Linked DNA regions of Drosophila melanogaster. Changing the gene in region 2 together with the main gene of any one other region gives a genetic interaction. Each region holds a gene or a part of one and is shown on either strand. Other genes may lie near its edges. The genes, in order: tut and cbc.

Region 1 (11,027 bases), on a different chromosome or scaffold from region 2:
GGCAAATACATTTCTATATACTTTTCGTGCATTTCAGCCCGTCCTGTTTTATTTCATTTGACGTTTTATTTCGCACTCTGCAAATAATCGATTGTCCGTCCGTCCGACTCAGTCAGTCAGTTGGTCCGTTTGACTCTCCATCGGAATGGAATGTTAGCTAAAGTATGAGCAGCTGCTTCAATATTGCGCATAGAATTTCACAATTTCGCACACTGCAGGAAAATCGAGCTGGGCAATTTTAAATACGGTCAATTAGCAGTTTTAAATTGACGCCCACTTGCCACTTAAATAAGTTGATCACATTAAATGTCAAAGGAATTCAATTATAACTTTAACTGAAATAATTCATGTGATACACAGTCGATTACTTTGGTAACAAACTTATAAATGTAAATGTTTTAACAATTGAAACAGAACTAATTTAATTATTAAAACTATTTTTTTTAAATAACTTAACACTTCACAAATTGAGTTAATTTTTATAATTAAGTTACTACTTGCAGTTTTAAACTATCTAGCCAACCAACTTGGGTTTAATCTCTTTGCACAGTGTCCTGTGCACAAGTCAATATGCGTTTGATTGTGTGTTGCGTAAAATTCCTTACGATTGACTTGCCCTGGCGTTTTATTGATTGATTTGCAATGCCACGAGCGGCTGACAATCAGCTATCAGCCACCATTGGGCTTCCGATGGAGCAACAGCCTTAGTTCAGCTCAGCTCACGTTGCGTATGCGTAATATTGTTATGCCACATCCTTGCACGCTCCTCCATGGAAAGTTTGCACAAGAAATTCAAGCAATGATCAAGTGTACATTTTAATGAAGCCGCCTCCGTACTCGTTCTCGTATATATGTATGTATGTAAATACAATAAATTGCGCACCGAAATCAACTCTATTGCATGCCAATTTCCGGACCAAAAATATGAGCGATTTTCATATGCTTGGCAGTGGGGAAAAGTTTTTTCATTAAAATTCTCGAATGGTGGCAAGTGGCAAGTTTGGCCAGAGAAGTGGGTAAAAGCCCAGCTGGGCTAAGTGAGTGCAAAATGTTATTTTATTGTCAACAAGCAAAGTTGCCACAACCACTCCGAAGACGAAAACCAGAGCCGCACGACTTGTCGTGGCGGATGTCAAATTTATTTAATATGCAGCATAAACAAAGCAGCCAGGACACGACGACACGCTCGTAAACTCATTTGCCAGCGGAAACAACAGTTCCCACCGGCTGCTGTTGGCAATTTTTTAATACGACCTCAAGGACCGACTTCCTGCTCCAAGTCCTGTCTTCATTCGCCTTATGAAAAGTAAATATTTTTGCGTTTTCTATATGTATGTATATCCTATTCGGACAGGGTAACGCCCACAACTTTTTTCATTAATTTGTATAATCCAGAGTGCTAGTCCCAAACCGAAAAAAAAAGAGAAAACCCTAAGGAAGGCATTACGTAAAAGTCAATAAAAGTGTTGTTTTAACTTCTGACACTTTTGGCCTTCCTCGGCACTCATTGTCAACTTCTGCTTTCAACGCAGCATCTGGGGGAATTTTCATAATTTTTGGCTACAAAGTTGAATTGATTAATAAAATATGAGCTGATGGGTAAGGGAAAGTTTGTCAAAGAATATTACAAAAAATGTAATTCTTTAGTGCTTGTACTGAATTGTTGATAAGTGCTCTTCAAATCAGAAGGATGGTTATTAAAAATGTTAATGCAAATCGTTCCAAATTGAAATGTGTTTTAAATAAAATTTAAAAATATATATTTACTTTATTACAATTATATTAGCAAACATTTTTAGCATTTTGTTTTACTCTATTGCAGAGCATTGACTTAATGGAACTTTAAACATCCTGTTTGTTTGTTTTAAATGATTGTTAGCTTGTAATTGTAAGTTAATGGACTTGCGTTTACTTTTCATTTAAAACAAAAACAATTGTTTTGATAAAATATTTTAAATTTGCTGGCAACGAAAGTTAATCAGGGTTTTTATGCTTGCAGCTGCAGCTCTTCATCATCATTTATGAAAACATTTCAGCGTTTCAGGTCTGGTTAACATGCAAATTTAATCGGCAAACTAGTTGCTAACTTTTTAAAGACGAACCAAAAGCTCATATTGAATTCTTTCCATCCGCCAATCATGCTTCGTACTCCATCTGGTTAAACCAAAGCCACCGGAGAATGGAAATGATGATGGGGCCCAGAAAAAACAAGCAGAATCATCCATATTCATGATGCATGTCGGTAATGGCATTTCCAAGCCAACGACAAGTTGCTTAAAAAATCATCCAAAAATTCGAGTTAAGTGCTAGAGGTTTGGCGGCTCCTCCCATCCCCTCCCCACCCCTCATCCACATCCTCAACCTTACCACATCCGCGTCCGTATCCAGTGCCACAAACTCCTCCTACGTTCTCCTCCGCCACATCGCTATATCATGCACATCTGTCATGCTCTTTGCTGCAGATGCGGTTAGAGAAATGCACGAAAATGGAAAAGGGCCAGGAACGGAACTAAAACTGCACTCAAAAAGCTGAAAGCGGCAAGAAATTGGGTACAGGCACATTCCCCTTAAAGCTTGAACTCAATATGTGCATAACTTTCGCTTTCCGGCGACAGAACCCCCCCAATCCCATTCCTTTGCCTCCTTTGTCCCAGGCAATCTGTGACCCAAATCCAAGGACCGACCGCTTTAAAGCCTAAACAAACTGTGTCAGTTGGCAGGCACTCCCACTTGCTCCTACTCCCCCACTTGACTTTTGGGCCCCAGTACCGCTCCTTCGACAACACTATACGTCCCCCTTATATTCTTTGCCGCTCGCATCGAAAGGCAAATATTGGCACTTGCCGCAATAACCAGGTAAGCTCTGGCTGAGTTGCCCTCCATCGCAGACTCGAAAATGGGTCACACCACAGTGGTGACCAGGAAAGCAGGGGCACCACAATAAGACTATCATGTAATATATATATTTTATATCTCTGTTTTTCAAGCATGTAAAGTACAATTCTTATGGTTACCAAGATCTTCACTATTCCGATAAAATAAAACGTATTTTAACTTAACTTTGTTTTTTCATTGGTTTCGCGAATTTTAAGGATATAAAAAGTAAAGGAAACTATTGTTTGGCTCCCATCTGTAAGTTGAAAAACGGATGACTTTATGATGGCAAGTAGAGCAAAATTAGAAGCAAACTTCGAGCCTTTGTAATTGCGTCACAGATGCGGCTTCATGACTTTAACCCTTCGACGGCGAGCGGAGGAGTGCTTTGCGCCGGGGATTGCCAATGGGTTAAGACTCGTACAATCCCTCGCATGGCTTTGAAATTTTAATGGGCTTTAAGCGAGTGAACAGGGGCGTGGCTGTCGCGCTTGAATTAACAAATTAATGCAAATGATTTTGGAAAACATTCAGCTCGGCTTGTTTTTCCCTGAATGCCCCGAGAGGATGTCTCGACTTAAGCTTAATTCAATGAATATTTATGAGGCTTCCAGAATATGCCAGTCGCTTCTTATTTTTGCATCATCATGTTACGGCTGCATTTCGATTTGAGGCTCTAATTTAATTGCAACCGTGCAGAGCTGAGCAGGACAACAACATCCGTTTCCGCCTGCCACGACATCCCGTCAAGTGCGGCAATCGCATTAGAATGCGCAGCGGACCTGTCCCTCGCACCTCGCGTCCTGTGCATCCTTCGCCTGACGGATGTCTTGCGCTCCCTCCACTCCCGTCCGTCGATCATTGCACTTTGGAGACCCGTAATCTGGAGTCAGACCCGGTACCCAGACACCGTGTCCAACACAATGCCAGCCGGAGGCTAGCGTCGACTCCTGCTCGCTGCACTCATTTAATTGCATTATGCCGCAGGTTGTCGCATTGCCCTGAAAGTCCTGGCTGCCACTCCGCCACTCCAAAGACACTGCATTAATTTGCATGTGAAAAACTGCAGCTTCGCTGCGCTGTCGGTGTTGTTTTTTTTATTTTTTTTTATTTTTATGGCTGCTCGCTGTTTTTGCCCAGAGTTAATGAAGTCAACAAGCTGCGGCTGCATTTCATCAGAGTGAGAAGCGGCGGGCCAAAAGGATTTGCCAGGAACAATGCTGTGTATAATTTCCCCCTGTCCTAACAACTGGTGAAAGTTTATGTTACATTCGCATGGGCAGCAACATAATTTACTGCCCAGAGAGCCACAGGAATTCCAAAATCCGCTTGGTTAGTTTTTTTTTAAGGTATAGTATGCATTCTAAAAGTGATTTGATATTTGGCTTTAAAATTTCATTAAAAAATCAGAGATTAACTTTGCAAAACACATATTCTTGTTTTCAAATTCCACGTATTACAAAAACTTACACAAATCAAGCAATAAACATCTTCATTCATATCTAAATGGTTGACTTATTTAAGAGTACTCTTATTTTACTTATAAACTTATTTAACAATAGAAAAAATATAACTAAAGTATTAAAGTATTTTATACATTTTCGTCCTACTTACGTGTAGTACAAACAAAACATTTGGAGCCTTATGGATTTGGTAGCATGAACCAATAAAGTAACATACTTGATACCACTTCCATTTAAAACTTGAAACAGCCCTTTTGTCTGGGAGGAACGCGTCGAGTACGATTTTGGCTTACTTCCCGTTGAAAACAGAAGCTACCGCTGGCTCTGCTCAAGATGTTCTCCGCAGTCAACCAGGAGATGTGCGCATGCTCACCGAATTTTCTGATCGAATTCCTTACTCTCTGATGGGCACTTGCGGCCGAGTCGTTGTTGCGGTACTCAAATATATAGAAGAACTGGTCTAATTGATACTCGTAGACTCGAACGATGGTAAAGGGATGTATCTTCAACATCTCCTGGTACACTTGCCATGGTCTAAGCGACGATTCTACGTTTTTGAGCACCAGCTCGCGATTGTTGGTCGATGGCTCCACCCTTAAGCACATGCAAAGCTGTCGGAATCGCATTGGCAGACTGGGATTATTAGGGTTAGTGCTGTTTTATGTGAAAATTATTACGAAGTACGTACTATTGCATTGCCGATTCCTTGAGGTCCACATTGATATATTGCAAGTAGGCGTAGCCGCGAGAATTTCCCGAAAAATCAATCTTATAGCGCATAATGTAAACTTCACCCAGTTCGCTGGCCACTTCCACAATCCACCGCGGAGAACAACTGTGATTCCTCGGTATACACGAGAGAAACAGCTAGAAGCAAAAACGTATTAGTGTCTCCGTAAACTTTTGAGACTAGATGCTTCACTAGACACTCACCTCGCCCTTTCCCTCATCCAGTAAGGATTTTAGATTTTCATCAAGGACTTTGCGCGTAGTTATGGTAATAGTGCCATTTACTTGACTGGTGCAGTATTTGCTCTCGAAATCCATTTTAAAAATAGCAAAAAAAAAAAAATACACAGCATACACGCGTGCATCAAAAAAAAAAAAAAAAGCTAAGATGCCAATGATTTAGTGTGACCAAATAAGCTTTAAAACATACAACGCTCGCGACGTTGCCAGATAGTCAATGAAGTTGGTAAAATTCTTTATACTTAACACTTAGGTAAAGTAACGGAGGGGCATAAACTTATTATTGTTTATGAACTTGTTTGAATGTTTAACATTTGTGTAAAATAGAGAGTGTTTTCATATTATATTTTTGCGTAAGAGGTCTTTTTTTGGCATTGCTGCGAACTCAGCTCTATACGAAGGTATTCTATTTTTGCTATGTACTTTATGCATTTACTTTACTCTTTTTCCAAACCGCTTTTTGCATGTCAGGCAATTTCTTTGCTCTTTATTTTTGCTTTCTTTTGACAGGCTGCGCGTGCTTTTTTCTAGCTCATGTTTAACAATATAAATTTATGCAGGCAGTCGGTCGTTTGCAACTTTTGCTCACAGTTCGCCACAAGCCGCAGCACCTATGTATGTATGTATGTAGGTTCGCATCGCATTCGCTGTTGTTGTTGCTGCGGTTAAGCCGCCCATCCGCCACCCACTCCACCACCCACTCACCCCACCAGGGGGCATCTTGATGGAGGTTGCGGTGCACTCAAGTGCCTGCTGCCGCTGCTGCTGCTTCATTTTCCTAATTTATACGCGCGCTGCGCTAATGAAAATTTACGTGGCAACCGCATACTGTTTTGTTGCTACTGCTGTTACACTAATAATTCATTGTTTCGAAATGGCCATAAGCAAATTACTGACATTAAACTATTTGTGGGAGGTAACATGTTGTTAGATTAATACACAACAGTTTTCTTAAATGAAGTGGTAAATGCAAAAGCTATCACTGTGAAGTCCAGTTTAGTCCACGTAGTGTAGAGACGCACCAGGTAAGAGTGTTTCGACAAGAAAATCCATTAAGTTCTTTGAAAAGTAAGCTCTGATATTCTTTGTTTAAAGTGTAGTGTCGCTGCTCCTTGTGCTTGTTGCCAGACGTGGGCCCACCACTTGAAGCATCTCTGAGAAACCCTGAGCTCCACTTTTGACCCCCCTCCCCTTTCTGCGGTTGAGAGACGTTTGGTGACAGTCGCCGAGTAAGGCCACTAGTCCCACTTATATTTCCGCATTTCCTTACCCGATTTGAGTAAGCGGTTTCATTTTATTCAAATCATTAAAATTACAAATATTTTTTGGGAACAAAATCAGTTGATTCCGGTTGAATATGCGAATGTGGCCATGAAGGATCTAAGCGAGGAGTTACTGGATCGCCATTTCAGGCAGCAGCTAGCCAGTTACAAGTATGCCGATCAGGCAAGGGCTAAGCAGTCGGATCGCCCCATCATGGCCAGATGGATAAAGATATTCGAGAAGGCTCCTCTCAGCGAGAAGTTGGCCCGAAATAGCCTGATGCTGCTCATGCATGGCCACTTGAAGGACTTTGGAGTGCTCAAGGAACCGTTCACGGATGTGCGTAACTACAGTAGGAATCTGAACGTAATTTTGGATGAGTACAGAGGCCAGCCATGTAAGAAGTTAGCTACTGGCAAATCACCTACACTGCTCAAGAAGTGCTCGACTCAAATTTTACGACCCAGGAAACTGGAACCCATCAAGGAGGTTTCCGAACAATCGGAAAATGATCCTACGACCAGTAGTTTTGCCAGCATTGTGACAATAATACGAAAAACAAATACGCGATCCTCTGACTCGAAGGATAGCCAAGTTTATCCAAGGACTGGCTTCGAGTCCCCAAATGGTGCTGATAGTCACACTGTGAAGAAGAGAGTCGAACTATTGGAGTATGAGCTCTCGAGAAATAAGCAGCATCCATCGAGCTCCACATTCAATCGGGATGCACCTGACAGCGGAAGAACCCATTCCTCCAGTTCCTTATCCCAAGAGAAACTCATCAAGATCACCAATGTCATAGATCAGGTCAACCGCCGATCAAGTGCTGTGAAAAATCTGAGGGATTGCTTTGAGGAAATGGCCGAACGTTTGAAAAACACAATCGAATCAAAATATAAATCGAAGATTCCGCCGCCAAAGCCGCCAAAGAAGATTCATAAGGATGTTCCTGCCGAGCGAGCCAGTGCCCAATGCCATTCTCCTATTGGCGTTACGGACCCAACTGTTCAGGGATTGCTGATGCGTAGAGAACAGCTGCGTGTCCAGTGCTTGGCATACTACAACTCGGATGGCACGATGAAGGATGTGATGGACATGCCTGATCTCTCAATGGATACTATGAAAGCTGAACAGAGAGTCAGAGGGTTCATAGTTGGTGCCTACAAGGCCTTGGAGCGTCTGAAACGCTGGCGCGGAAAATCCAAACGGTTGAGATTTTTCCAAACCTGCTTCCAGAAATTTGGGCTTCGTAATTTTTGGGAACTACAGGCTCTGGATCGAAGATTCGAGAGGGTGGCGCTCAAGTGGTATCGCCATAAGGTGATGGCATGTCTACAGAACACCTGGCTTACTTATCGCAGAAGCATCTTGGCCCAGAAGCTATCGTACGACGAGGACGATCTACAGCAGATGCGCCACCAGATTGAGCTGCAGGAGGAGTTGCAGCGGGAGCGAATGGTCCACCTGGCCAAGATCATGGAACTGTGCAGGAGCAACTGTCACGGGATCGTCACGCATAAAGTCCTTAGCAAGATGCTCGATCGCCTGGAGGATGAACACGACCAGCTGGCCCGGGATCTCAAATCACTGCTCCGCCAGAAGGACCAACTGTTCCAGTAAAGCATCCTGCGAATCCGCAACTTTTCTCGCACCAGATTTTTGATATCATTTTGCACCTTTGTGTAAGCCCGTTTACACCGCGAGCTACGCTGCTCGTTAATTAATTTAAATACTACGCTTTATTAAATTAAGAACTGCTGACAGGGATACAAAGTGAACGGGCGAGTTGGGGAAAGGGACCAAAGCTGGAGATGACTACACAATAAACAAACAATCTACTCGTAAACAGCAGCTATTTTTTAGTTATGCAATGTTTCCGTTGCAGCTTTGCGAAAACCAGAAACGGAAGCTGCGTTACAGGGTTAAAATAGAATAGAATAGACATTTTGTTAGCAAGCAGGGATTTAGCAGCAAAGCCAGTCGGTAAAGAATACAAAAAGCAAAAAAAAAAAAGGAATTCAGAAAAAGCCGGGAAAAAGGCAAGCGAAAACTGTCGCTAAAAGCAGTTTTCCAAAGTACTTTCCATCGAGTTGGCTGGGCGTGGTCGCCATTGAAGTCCATCGGTGGTCAGAGAACTTGCCGCAACTTAATATCCGCAAAGTATCCGATATATATATACACATATATAATTATGGCAGCATAAGCGTACAGTATATATAGGGTACATTGTACACTGAGCGCAGTTATAGGTAGGGCATAAGTGATGGCTTCATCGGGCTTCGTTTGGCTTGTGAATTTATGGTCTATATTCGGAAATTTGCATAGAACGCTCTGTCGTCTCACAAACACCTCCCCTTTCCCCCCACCTACCCTTTCCCTACCCATTAAACTCGTCTACGTCTGAATTAATTAATTATTTATAGCTTGCGAAGCACGATGCTACCCTTCGCTACCCTGCCCATCGTTGGCCATGTTTTGGCCCGGTTGCAAATTCAGCTGGCAGTTATGGCTTAAAGTGCCAGTGGTGTCCTAGACCGGAGGCTTTAAGCAAGACGTCACCCTTGGAAATTGGCAATTGGGAATTGGGAATAGGTCTTATCTAAGCGAAGTGATCGCAAAATATGGTTTCGTTTCAATCCCCCATTTCATAATGCATGGGGATGCATGTCAGGCACGCACACATAATTATAATTTTTACAACGTCTAAGTAAACGCAAATATTTTATGCAAAGTGCCAGCTTTTGAGGGAGGTTGGGAGAGAGGGGTATTTGGTGACTCAGGTAGGGCGGTTCTACCTGTAGTAATGAATGGCTGTCCAAAGAAGGCGGCGCGACATTCGCTGCTAGCCATCAATTGTGAAACAAAGGGTATCAAATGCGGCTGCGGAATCGTTTGGTGTTTGGCAAACTTTGTGACGCAGCCGGAAATGGTGCTAAATATGGAGAAAGTTGAGGCTGCGAAAGCGAAAGGGAAGTTATCGAAAGAATAGGTATCCATTGATTTCTTATCTTAGCTTTATCGTTTTTAAATTGATAAAACTGGTTAATCATGTACCCCTTTATTGTATAATGAATTATTATATCAGTGTTATGTATAAAATGTTTGTTCTAGATTTCCTTATTGCATATTACTCTAAGTCTTCTACTAAATCAAGCAAGGATTAACTGATTACTTTCCAAATTAATTCTACAATTTTTAATCGTATATTTATGTTTGTTGCAATTTTATGACAACATCTTTGTATTTTCTTCTTGATCATCAAAATTTCGAAATAATTTTTTTTCAATCACTTTTTAATAACCATTTTATGACCGACAGAGTACACGGGAATTTCATCAATTTGAGACGCTTATTAGTCGTTGTCTTATATTTATTCTTTCTCGGCAATTTCAAATAGCATTAAGAATATAATTTATGCCACTCAGCGCACTCAGGTCTAGCAATATTAATGATGGCCCAACTGCTCCGACTCTCTGCCCGGTTCTCAACGATTCTCTGGGCCGATCCGATGTGATCCGATGCCCTGCCCTCCAGCCAAAGGCTATAAATATGATTGACTAGCCCGGCCAATCGAGCAGTGAAATTTTGAGTTTCGTTTCGCAAAGCCAGCCAGCCAGCCAGCCAGTCCGCAGGAGCAGTAATCGAATGGGAGTCATGTTGGTCAAGGTCTTGATGGTGAGTGCGCCGAACTGTGGATATATGGATTTGTGGATATATTTCAAACCTATCAATAATCCTGCCAGTTCGCATTGTGGCTCGTGGCCCTGAGCCAGGCGAAGCCCCAGCTGTTGGTCACGACGCCAGTGAGTTATGCCACCGGAGCGGGTGCCTCTTGGCTGGCTCCCTCCTCCGCCGCTTACTATCCGGCGTATGCCAGCTATCCGGCCTACGCGGCGTATGCGTATGCACCGGTTTATGGCGCATACGCCACGTATCCATACTACTCGTATCTAGGGCGGTGAATCCTGCTGCTGCGGGCCAACCGGAATACTAGGTGAATTTGTAGCTATTCCGGGCTTGTGTACAGTGGCAGCAATGTTCCACTTACTAGAAGCAGTGTGATTGGATTTACAAACGTAAGCTGAGTATAAGAAATTAATAACTTTTTTGTTTGGTAAATGTAAAAAAAATATTACTCAAAGTGATTGCAATTGCTACAACTAATATAACATTTAAAGTGTCCCTTGTGAAATTAATGTTCCTTAGATTTATAACTAAAATCTATAGCTTTCTTTTGAAATTGAAAATTGGCCCACCTTTAGATAATTCTTTAAGATTATTAATAAACAATCCTTGTATAAATATAACAAATATCGAAATGCAATAAATAACTGTCAACTCGAAAAGTGCCAACTAAAATGTTATCTAAATACAAAACTCAAAGACCTCGCTGTGAATATTTTCATGTCCTGTTTGTGTGTGTGCTCGGAATAATCCAGTTGGCAATGTTCTATTTTC
Region 2 (12,043 bases):
GTTTTATATGAATTTATGGCAACGGCTTGATAAACAATTTACATTAGTTTATGGCTTTCGTATTCAGCGAATAACCCATTCGAATTTTTTCTAAAAAAAAAAAAACATGGTATTCCAATACCATTCTTTTGGTTGTGTTTTTTTTTTTTAACTTTGACGTTATCGAACTCTTTCCCTTTTGTCCATCAAAAACCATTAAAACTTAGCATGAACCATCTGTGTGATAAATTAGTTTTTGTGGTTTTCTGGTTTCACTTGGCTTGTTTTCTACCTATGTATAACTAATGATGCTGATGTATCCAGGAGATTGCTGGAATTCGGCATCGTGGTTTAATTTATGCGTTAGCCAGTGAATTTTTATTCTTCTCTGGCTGCCAGTCTACAAAGTTTTGATTGGCTTAGTTAAAGGATCTTCTAAAAAAAAATACAAACCAGACGAAAAAAAAATATATATAAGCAGCCTTAATTTATCGTTCGACAAAAGTTAATTAAAAAATCAATCGAGGCGTTTTCGCTTGGCCCACAAATCATCCAAAGTGTCACTTAAATTATGGAGAAGATACCCTCTCCGGGGAAAATCAAATACGATATAAAAAAAAAAACGAGCTCTGGACAAATTAGTATGCACAACAGGTTAAAAATTGACAAACGCCAGTCGAAGAGGCAGCTGCAAAAGGCAAAAAAAAAAAGAGCAACAGGAAAAATGCCAAATATAGAGAGGGTATAAAATAATAAAAGCCATAAATAAACTTTAAATTGGTTTTTTTCCAACGTCTAGATAGGAAGCGTGTTCCGAGGTACAAGAGTGAAATAAATTAGCAATTCGTCGAACGGGGAGACTGCTGGCTGTTGGACTATGAAGTCGAAGGATCTGCCAACGAGCTGCGAATTAATGTTTCCTCCCAGCAATATTAGATAACGAAACCCGAGACTCGACCATCGCCATATGGAGTTCAGATCTTTGGCCAAAAAAAATAAATATATATATATATATATGAAAATAAGAAGGAAGGAAACTCGGGAGCCAATGAAACGTAAACAAGAACGGCAGTCAGAACAATTACACGAAAACAAAGAGCAGTCAAAAGGCCAAAACAAGCCAAAAACCAGAAAAAAAGAACCGAAAAAACAAGGTATAAAGAAGAAAAAGAGGAAAAACATTTCTGGCCAGGTTTGTTGATTGTACGGATATGTGTGGTGGAAGGCATGCTGGGCCTGGCCTCTAAATGACCGGCTTGGCTTGGAAACGAGTCGCAAGTGGCCAAGTGGGACCGGGACAGGGCGACTGCGGGGACTGCTGGCGGCCCAAAAGGGTCTGGGCCATGATTTTGGGCCTGGGTCTGAGCCCGGTCTCGTCTCTTAACGATGTGCATGTTTATGCGCTGCTCTGCTGCGTTGCAGGCAACGCACGAACGCCCAGACATTTAAAGCGGCGGAGGCAGCAACGACAACCAGCAACCAAAAGGAACCCCACCAGCCACTGCGGCCGACGAAGGTGGCCAGGAGCAGCGGGATGGTGGAGCCGGGTGGGGAGCTTGTTAGCAAGGGAGACACGGCCAAGATGCCAGCTAGTGATGGGCAACTCAAGGGAATCAGAAACTATCGTTTATTCAAAGTAACCATAAGCATTTACTTTACTTATATTACTTTAGAATATTTGATCATAAAATACTATTAATAAAAGTTTAGATTATACAGCTGGCCTAATCTTAAAACTTTCTATATATTTTATATAGTTCACACTTGAAAACTGTGACTTCACCTGTGACTGCGCTGGTCGCATTTGCATCGCCACATCCCTAAATGTTTCCGGAGTCGAGGAGTCCCCTTGTTTTTATTTCAGTTTCTCGTTCAGTTCGTTAGTTGGCCAAAGCCAACGGCTATGTTAAGTGGCACCATACACACAGATACGCACGCATACAGGCGCACGGAGAACAGGGTTGCCTGCGCGCCTGCAGATATGCAAATGGGTATAGAAATTTAATTACTTGCTGACATGTTTTGTGCCTTTAAATTGGCAACTTGTTGGATAAATTATGGTCGTATTATTATTTTATTCTCACCTATGTGATATGATGGCTTTTCAAAAACTGACAATATGTTGGAGAAAATTCAAGTGAATAGCTGTTTCTAACATGGCTTTGCTAAACAAATTCTTTTGTTGCTACTCGATCAGCACTGGAGTGGTTGTGATAGGAAGTTCCTATGTAATAATCGATTTACTTCGCCTGTTCTATCACCTGACTATCTTCTATTTCCCAGGGCCTGTTTGTAAATGCAATTTGCTTGTGATCGTTAAATGAATTTTCATTAACTTTTCTTCAGTTCGACATTGGTATTTTGAAAAACACAGCGGCGACGATGTCCACGATCTAATCACTGTTACAATGATGAAGAATCGTATTCAGGTTATCCTTGTCCTGCTGGTCGACCTTTTGACGGATATCGGACTGCTATTGAGCGTGAATGTAAGTAGCTAAATTGTTAAGTTAGTTATAGTTACTTTCTCACACTTAGTTATTAGTCTGGTATAATACCCATATTGATTTGGATATTAAAATCGATCTTCTTGGCCCTCGTCTACTTGATCGTTATTCTGTCCCTGTGCTTTGCCTATGCCCACATTATATTGGCCTTGATTTTCGTTCCCATATTTGGTAAGATATTGGGGCAGACAAATTATTCGTTTCACATTAATTACTTTTCCCATCCCAAGCAATGGAAATATATTTCCTGTTTATTGTGAGCCTGCATTTAGTGGAACTAGGTCTATCGAGTGACGTGAACGACGAGAGTCCCGATGAAACAGCCGTCTAAGTTTTGGATGGTTTTATTATGCTATTAAAGAGAGTTCCTAAAAAAAAAAATAATAATAAACACAATCGTTAAATTAACGATTTGCCATGCGAACAACTCGTTTAAACTGCAAACGGCAAAGGAGTGCTGGCCGAAGTGCGAGTGAATCGAGATGGTGGATAACCAGCTGGGAATGCCCTTAGCCTATCAATGTTTCCCTTTTCGCAATTAACATTTGTGGAACACACGTAATTACAAGATTACGATAAGTGATAAGCGACGGCAACGGCAAGAAGGATGCAGAAGTTGGCCAAAAGCAGTTGGACGGGTTCGCGATGCGTTTTGTTGTTGCACTTGTGGCAGTTGCATACACATATTTGCATATGCCAACCGCGCTGCATATGGTAGCCAATTTGTTGGCAATACCAAAACCAATTAAGCAGATGCACAGGAAAATAGAATTTATATCAAATATTTTAAGCATTTCGTTAAGTAAGAAACTGTAGAAATACAAATGTTTCTACAGGCAGTCAGCCACTTTATCAGTTCGGAACTCCTTAGCATTTTATTTTCTACACCAATCCAACTTTATAAAACTAATAAATTAGATTATTTTTCTCTGTGTAATATATACGCAATACGCACAGCCGTATCAGCCAACACACAGAGGTCAGTGCCAGACCAACCCGCCCACACACACAAATCTGTGGTCGGAGTAGGGCGTTCGTCGCGTTGATGAGCAGGATGATGCCATGATGCGATGATGATGTGGATGCAACCGAACTGCCGGGCATGCAACACAGATGCATTACACAAACGCCAGACTGACCACACCACAACATTATTGTTTAAATTGCAAAGTGATACATTTGTGCCGGCGGACCGAGAGTTTGCCATTGGTTTTAGCAGTTTGCATACGGAATGCAGATGGCTCCCAGGATGATTGGGTTAGTTAAAGCCCAATTGTGTTTGCTGTTCGTTTGAAGCGTTTCATTGGGCTTAAGTTTAAGCAGATATTCGGATGCAATAACTGAGAGGAAGCTGTTTAACAGCTATGCATTTCCATAGCAAACTAAATCAACAAGCTGCCAGTTGTGGAAAGTTTAACCGAGCTTTGAATAGTATGATTAAAGGTTTAGTTGATTAATTGCAATTCATGAGCTCATTTGGTGTTAGTATGTTTATAATTATGCAAAATTAGGTACGATTTTAAACTGTAAAACAGCTCAGGGAATTATAACCATATTACATTGGCATAATTGCCATTGTACGGATTGTGAAAAGCTTTAAACAGATTATAGAAACCCAATTAAAATAATTGCATTAATCTTTGTCCAAAATCTTATTTTCTACAGACAGTAAATTTGAAATGATTCTTTGCTAAAGGCTATTTAGACTGTTTTCTTTTGGCAGCTTACTTATGAAAATCACTTTCATTTATATAATTAAACTAGTTCATGCAATAGTTAACATTCTGATAGTATGCTAAACATCAAATTAAGATTTTAATTGCAACGAATAAACTGAAATTCACGCATGACTAATTGAGTTGGGCATTTTTAATTGGATAATTGGGAAATACTAGCGACTAATGCTTCCTAGGCAAATCCCGCGAGGAAAGACAAAGTGTATCAAGTGTTGACTGACATTCCTAAGCCAATGTCAAGCTGGCTGTTGGAAAGTTGAAAGTGGAAATGGTGCACACATAAATGAAATCAAAATCAATGTCAACAACAGTGAAATGTCGAGTGTCCCGCGGGGACGCAAAGGATGTCAGCCAGGATGGCAGGATGACTGGCTGGCAGGATGCCGTCAGTGGGCGGTGGATGTGGCGTCAAAGGCGCCGTCGCCTTTGAAGTGCTCCCATTACTACTAAACTGGCGTTACTACGGCGTAGTAAATAGAAGCTAAAGCAAATAGCGCTTACGTAAAGGGACCAAAAAAAAGGGGGAATCCCCCACACGGCATGACAGCAGCGCGCAAAAACGTCAGTTAGCTGCAAAAAAGAACAAGGTTTAAAGAAGAACTGGGTGGCCGGTGGGTAGTGTGGAAGTGGTGGCATGGGTGGCATGGATGGCATGGGTGGCATGGGCGGCAAATCAACGCTGGCAAAAAACACTTTGTGCGCGCGTCAAAGTGTTAAAGAAAGTAAGCATCCAACCAGCCGCCCACACACCACCCACACACGACAGAGAGCTGGCCGGGAATGATGGAAGATGGGGTTTTTTTTCCGGAGCTTTGTGTACATATTTGATGCGCTTTTTTTCCTCCCACCCGGCTCGACAAATTTAAGTTTTCGGGCTTCCTTTTCGGTGCGGCGGCACTTGCTTTGTGGATGCCCCCATGCATGCTGGAGTACTCGCAATTCCGGACTCCGAAAAAACTTCGGATTGCAACTGAAGGAGAGAGCCGGAAAAAAAAAATAAAAAAACGAAGAATCCGAAGGCTTATCTTTCAGCCAAACACTCGAGCGTTTTTGGGGCTTAACGATGTTTGGACGGCCTTTGTCCATTTGCTATTTCCATATTGACTTGTCCCGTGCAGGTCCCTTCTACTTCAGTCCTTTGAGCCCCTTTTTTGAAGCTGCACTGAGAAAAACTTTCAAGGAGTCATGCAATATTAATCTATAGAAGAACTGTTTCAGCCCACGAAATTTGTAAGTTCCTCTTACAGACTTCATATCTTAACTTTACATATGATTCCCAACAGAACAGTTCATATAGAGTGGATCTATCGATTTACCATTAGATTTTAAATAATGTACAAGTTATACAAGATTTAATTGATGAGAACTGAACATTTTTCTGAGTGTATAATTTTTGAGCCTGGGTCAATGCTTTGTGCATTTTGAAATATGCCGGCAATTACCGGGCAACTTTGCCATATTACAACTGCTGAATTATTAGTGAGCTGCTTTTTTCAGCTCATTAGCGTCGCATCTAGTGGAAAAGTGTTTGGTGGGGCCGCAGAGTTGTAGTAGTCGTAGGAGTAGAAGTAGATGAAGAAGGGGGTACTAAATTATGCGCAGTGCAATCAAGTTGAGTGCGTACTACAGTCTAAATAAGTAGTAGTTGTTTATTCATAAAAGCATTGCGCCGAGAAATTGTCAGCCTTTGGGCTTTGACAACACGAAAAAGAGCTTAAAGGAAAACGCAAAGCGGCAAAGGAAGGGGCTAAAAGGCTGGGCGAGGGGCGGGGAGCGGGAAGCTCAAAAGTGCAGTTGAAACCACATAAACAAACGCATACAGTGGGCACTCGAACAGGCAACATGCCTGAAATGCAGTTCAGTTACTCATATTTTATCTATGGGATTTTAAGCTTTTAAATTCAGTGAATCATTGAAATAAGGAACTATACTATTAAGTAAATATTCTATCTGAATAGTAATTTTTGATGTACATATTGAAATTTTGCTAAATTAACTATTTAAAATGAATATTGACCAATAAATATAAATATCAAATATTGATTTGAGACTAAACACTCTCAATTTATAATTCAATCACTTGGGAATCACGCAACTACGTTGGTTCACATTAGCGAGCGATACCTGTAGTACAAAAGCCTTTGAGGAAAGTAGAGGAACGATATCAGCGAACCCCCATTCCCATTACAAACTGTCTATCCCTGCGGTTTTTTGAACTCAAAGCCCTCGCCACTCGTCAAATTAATCGAACTGCCATCAAATGCTTGTCAGTTCCCAGCTCCTTTGGCAAAACCGTTGCCCTTTGTTCGAAATGAAAGCACAGAACTTACCATTTTTGTACTGCCAACTGTTTGAGATGCCAAAGCAAATCAGTAGAAAGCCGATCAGCATTTGTCGCCAGCCCACTCCGCTGTTAGATTTCGTGCATTTCGTCGCTTTCGTTGTCACATCTTCATTATTATCTATAACTTGGCACAATTGAGGTTCGATTTCAGCAGACTTTGTGTATGGCTCGAGAGCCATCTTATTTTGGAAGCACTATCTCCGGAATTTTAAGACATTTGGCGCAAAAACAACAGATGACGCGACCCGATCGTGTTTGTCTTTTGTTAGGCGCACATGGTAATCACACGGAAAAACTGCAAGTGGAAGGGAGAGGGAGGTTTGAAAACAGGTCGCTCTCGAAAATCTTTCACTCCCTAGGGTATCAAATAACACCCTTGTTTTGAACTCTCGTTTGTAGTTACAACAGTATTTGCAGAGTTATGCCTGTTAGTAAATAGGTTTTAGGATTTTTGTTTTACTTTCTACGTATCTTTTTTAATAGATTAATATTGGTTCAACTGTTATGACTACAATACAATTCAAATTTATTTCAGTTTTGATCACTAGTGAGTTAATAACTTTTAGTTCCTCGTGCTCGCACTTTTGTTGCGTAGTGTAAGCTAGCTGTTGCTTATGTTGTTGTTATTTCAGTCTTTCAATTGAGTTTCCCGCTTCTTTGTTGACGAGTGTGATCGTCTTGTTTGCATGTGTGCGAGCCACCAATTGTTGTTGTCGTTAAGTAGCGAGTGATAAGCAATTGTGCAACTGTGTGAGGGCCACCACACCGCCATCACCCCCTCCGATCAACTGGTCGCCAAATTGAAATACTGTAAGTGATAAGGTGACTCTGGGTAATTAGGGAACCTCTTTTGCCGCCGCTTCTACGGCGCAACAAGCCGGCAATCGACGAATTGCGGTGCGTGCGCGTGTGTGTGCAACCCCCAGAAAGGCGCAGCGCTGCACTTTCCAGTGGAAAATTTCACGACGCAACCAAAACAAACGCCGTTTGCCGCTGGAAAATGCAGCAGCAACAGAGAGCAAGTGAGAAGAAAACACACAAACACACGCGCACACATGCACAGACGCACACACACACTGGGGGAAAACAGAACGTCTTTCAAGCAGGCCGTAAATTTAGATGCCCGAAAATCTCTTGTTTTGTTTTTAGAACCATTTGATACACATTCCAACAACAACATCAGCAACATCTCGCATGCTGCACAACAAACACGAAAAGCACGACAAATTCCACAGTATCTATGGTTTATGCCCGTTGAAAGTGTATTAATCGTCGCCGTTTCATCGCTATTTGTTGTTAAACCAACGCAATTCGACCGAGCGCAGCCATTTTGTGGTTACTTTGTTTTGTAAATATTTGATTTACTTTTCACTGAGTTTTCCGTCCGCCGTGTTGCCGTGTTTTTCGTCTCGCTCTTTCGAACAGTGTGACCGCACTGAGGCGACGTACGCAGCCGTCAGTATGGCTGCACCTAATTTGCCTAAATATTACCAATTGAGTGTTCTAAATATACCAAAAATATACTGGAAGTAGAGTAGACGTTTGGTTGCACACCTTGCTAAAAAAATTTAGAACACCATTTTGTTTGAATTATTTTCGAATAGAATTACATAATTTTACCAAATGGCGAAAAATGCACATTGCAAATATATTCAAATGCAATTTTTACAAAACCCTTTTTCAGTGGTTATAAGAAACACATAATAATACATACATACACATACAATACATATACTGAATATTATATTCTTGTATAGTTATAATTAATTATAATAGTTTTCAATTTTCAGAAATTACAATATTTGTTTGATATATGTTCTATTCTTTTATAGCAAAACTTAATTAATTTTTGCAAAATGTTATTAAATGTTATTTCAGTTGTTAAACTTGTGGAAAACTTTAAGTTTACTACTTGCACATCTAAACTGTATTTTTTGTAACGCCAACATTAATATAAAATTTCTTAAATTACATCTAGAGCAGAGCATTTACAAATGCTAGGTATGATTATCCATGAACTGCAGTTCCGACCACAGGAGCAGGGCGTTCGGGGGCAAAGGTCGCGGCTGCGGCGAAAGCAACATCACTGCCTGTCTTTCCATATCCACTTCGGTTCTGAGGATAATCAAATAACAATCATATATAACTAGTATAATATCTAGTTTAGGTTCAGCAGCACTTACACGCAACAAAAGCCGGCCACATTGGTGCCAATCACATCGTCCTCCACGGACTCGGCAAAGCTGAGGGCCAGCACATGATGGATTAGGGCGGGCGTGGGTGTAACCGCCACCACCTTGGTCTTGTTGTCCTCCGCCTTCATTCCAATTGGCATGCAGGAGTCGGGCAGCGGCGGTGCGCCGATCTTGTAGAGTCGCAGGTCCTGGAACTTCACCTCGAAGCTGAACGGATAGAAGGGCGCCCTTGTATTGCCGTAGAAGTACTCCTTGATGCGCTGATCCCTCGCCTCGTGTCGCAGTTCCTTGCTGCGCTCGACGACGCCGCCGCTCTTGGGCAGCAGTACCACATGAACTCCCTTGGGAACATCTCGAAGCAGCTCGTTGTATAGTCGCTCCTGGTCCAGAACAAAGATGGCACAGGCTCCATAGGCTTTGGCCGCGTGCAACAGGTGCGCGTAGCCGGATCCCTTTACCCAGCCACAAGTGTTTATAATAATGCCAGAGCTTTTTGCTGCAAAAAGCAGATGCAGAAATTTGCAGTTTATGAACGGGAAAATGTATTGAAAAGTGCAAAGATATGTGTTACACCTTCCCAACTTACTTCGCTTGTTGCTATTCAGAGATTGCAGTGTTACCTCTGCCATTTTGGAAACCACGGCATTGTACAGCACGCTGTTTCCGCTGGGAGACTTATGGCCAAAGTGATAGACCAGCGGCGCTGTCTTGGCGAATCCCTCCTCAACGTTCGCCGGTCGCTCGATGAGAATGGTGGCCACACTCCCGGAAATGGCAATCGAGCCCTGTCCAACATCCAGGTCGGCGTACAGCGGTCGACGACCCACGCGCACAGCATAGTTAAGCAGGATGCGGCACAGAGTGCTCTTGCCCACGTCCATGGGACCGACGACCATGGCCACTGGTCCGTAGCGATCCTTCTCCTCGGCCTCCATGCGGAACTGCTCCAGTGCCGCATGACAGTTGACGTACTGCACCATTGGCGTCTCCTTGGAGATGTAGCACACGTCCATTTTGCCGGAGACGTGGAGTACACAGCCCTGGTACGTGAAGATGGCCACCTTGGCGCCCACGCCGAACTCGTACTGCTTTTTCTTCACCAGCTCCGTGCCGAACAGCTCCGCAAATCCACTGACCAGCTGAAATCAACAATTTGATTATAAATAACGAATTTATTGTAATCCAAAAAGGTTTTTGCACTACTTACGGACACCAGCACTTTGGCATCCTTCTGCTCGATTTCAAAGCGCAGCTCGGAGTCGGACTCCAGTGTGTAGTCTTTGCCTTGGTCCTCCGACATGGCTGTATCTTCAGTGCTCTGCTAATGAGTTTTAATGGCGAAATAGGGTAATTATCCAAAAATTTAGGAGGTAAACAATTTCACATCAGCTGTGCACTAACGATGGGAATTGATCGATACCTGTATAGTAGTAATTAATCGATTTCTAGGGGTATAAATGATCACTGCAAAATAAGTTAAAGTACTGGACGTCTTTAAACAATTACCATGTATTCCCATTAATATTAATTGTCACATAAATAAACATATTTTAATTCTCAACTGCTAGAAATATATTTAGTTAGTCAGTGCCCATTCAAATCGGTATCGGTACTGGGCATTATTTGCTTTGCTTTATACGGTCACACTGTTCCAAAAAAGCGGGAATTCTTTAAAAATATTTTAAGCAAATACCGAAAATTTGAAAATGCCACGACACAGCAGAGCCAAGCGCGCACCCAGGCCGTCGGCGAACAACTCAAAGTCGCCGAACGACGACGACACGGCCTTCCGCTCGCCGGAGCCAGAAGACGGCACCGACTACGGCCTCGAATTCACCACCAGCCAACTGACGCTTCAGGACAACAATCGGCGTTCCTCGACGTTGCGCAGGGACGCCGGACGGAGGCAGCCGGCAGCGAGAGACAGCTCCACCAGTGGCGAGGAGGAGGACCAGGAGAATCGCTATCCCACAACCAGATCGCCGCAGACGCGTCGAATGACCGTGCAGCAGGAAAGCAAAACGCGAGCAGCAGGGCCAGTTGCTGCGCAAAACCAGACCAGGCGGCGCAAAGCGGCCAATCCCATGAGCAGAGCCAAGAGAATGGATCGTGAGATCCGGCGACTGCAGCACCATCCCGGCACACTGATACCCAAGCTGCCGTTCTCGCGTCTAGTGCGCGAGTTCATCGTGAAGTACAGCGACGACGAGCCGCTAAGGGTCACCGAAGGCGCCCTATTGGCCATGCAGGAGTCGTGCGAGATGTACTTGACGCAGCGGCTCGCCGACTCCTACATGCTAACCAAGCATCGCAATCGCGTCACACTGGAGGTGCGCGACATGGCATTGATGGCCTACATCTGCGACCGGGGTCGGCAATTTTAGTCCAAAAGAGAAGTTTAGGCTTAGTTTAGTTATTTGTTTGAATAGTTGTGTATATCCATTGTAGTGTTTACGTAATGAAAAGTTCAAAGAGTTTGTTACATCCCCCTTTTTGTACCAATTAGAATTAGCTTTAAATAAATATTTTTGCTCGACAAGATTGTTAATTTCACTCAAATGGTTCAAAGTAATCAATTCACTCAAATAACTCGTGATTTTTATAAGAATCGGGATGAACTTCACCAAATAAATAACATGTCATTGAGATACGTATAGCATTTCGTTTTATTTCTAGTTCTTGCTGCTTGCTTCGTCTCCATTTTCATGTACAACATAAAACATAATCCATAATAGTTTAACTATAAAGTTGCCGGCCAGCGCCGTGCGAGCTACAAACATAGGGTTTCAGCTAGGATTAGGATGCATAAGATGTAGTCACGCGAAACGCACTTAAATTATGGGCCTAGTCCAAGGTAGGTAGTGCGCTTTTTGAAATGAGTCACCATTTAGAATGTCGCGGCCCATCGGACGACCTCGATGTATAGAGAACTAAGCACTTAAACGAGTAACATGAATAGATAGATAGTTTAGATACTGGCCTCAACTGAATGTGGCAACTGCGCTCGCACTTGATCTGCTGTCTTTCGTGGGATGGATCGATTGCCAATGGGTGGTTACAGGACTTAAACGTAAGTTGAGCTTTCGTCAAGCTATTTTCTGGCTGGCGGCTCTGCTTTCTTTTTGGCATTTGCACATGTGTTAATTGGGCGCAGTAAAAGTACTGCTGTCTAGATATATTACAACTTACACAATCATACAAAATATAGGTATTTATTTTCTTTAAATATTTAGCCATATAATTGATATCCGGAGACTGCAACAGTTCTGTCTCCCAGCAGCC

What was found.
Region 1: of cbc (region 2) and tut, changing one enhances a phenotype caused by changing the other (phenotypic enhancement), as found in Drosophila melanogaster (one study listed by BioGRID).

The regions. Positions count from the first base shown.
Region 1 is NT_037436.4:8,205,288-8,216,314, forward strand, and holds tut (tumorous testis), read right to left. Parts: upstream 5,457-11,027; 5' UTR 5,385-5,456; coding exon 5,271-5,384; intron 5,205-5,270; coding exon 5,026-5,204; intron 4,971-5,025; coding exon 4,571-4,970; 3' UTR 4,290-4,570; downstream 1-4,289. Other genes in the region: CG8006 (uncharacterized protein), read left to right, coding at 6,678-8,189; CG8012 (uncharacterized protein), read left to right, coding at 10,215-10,244, 10,313-10,531. UniProt on the Drosophila melanogaster protein: RNA binding protein that forms a complex with bam and bgcn, involved in 3'UTR-dependent regulation of a subset of mRNAs. Preferentially binds a long isoform of mei-P26 transcripts.
Region 2 is NT_033778.4:13,475,224-13,487,266, forward strand, and holds cbc (crowded by cid), read right to left. Parts: upstream 10,169-12,043; 5' UTR 10,062-10,168; coding exon 9,969-10,061; intron 9,901-9,968; coding exon 9,348-9,900; intron 9,258-9,347; coding exon 8,750-9,257; intron 8,682-8,749; coding exon 8,564-8,681; 3' UTR 8,289-8,563; downstream 1-8,288. Other genes in the region: arr (arrow), read right to left, coding at 6,553-6,745; CG43192 (uncharacterized protein), read left to right, coding at 2,136-2,271, 2,326-2,468, 2,525-2,657, 2,717-2,817; cid (centromere identifier), read left to right, coding at 10,468-11,145. UniProt on the Drosophila melanogaster protein: Required for endonucleolytic cleavage during polyadenylation-dependent pre-mRNA 3'-end formation.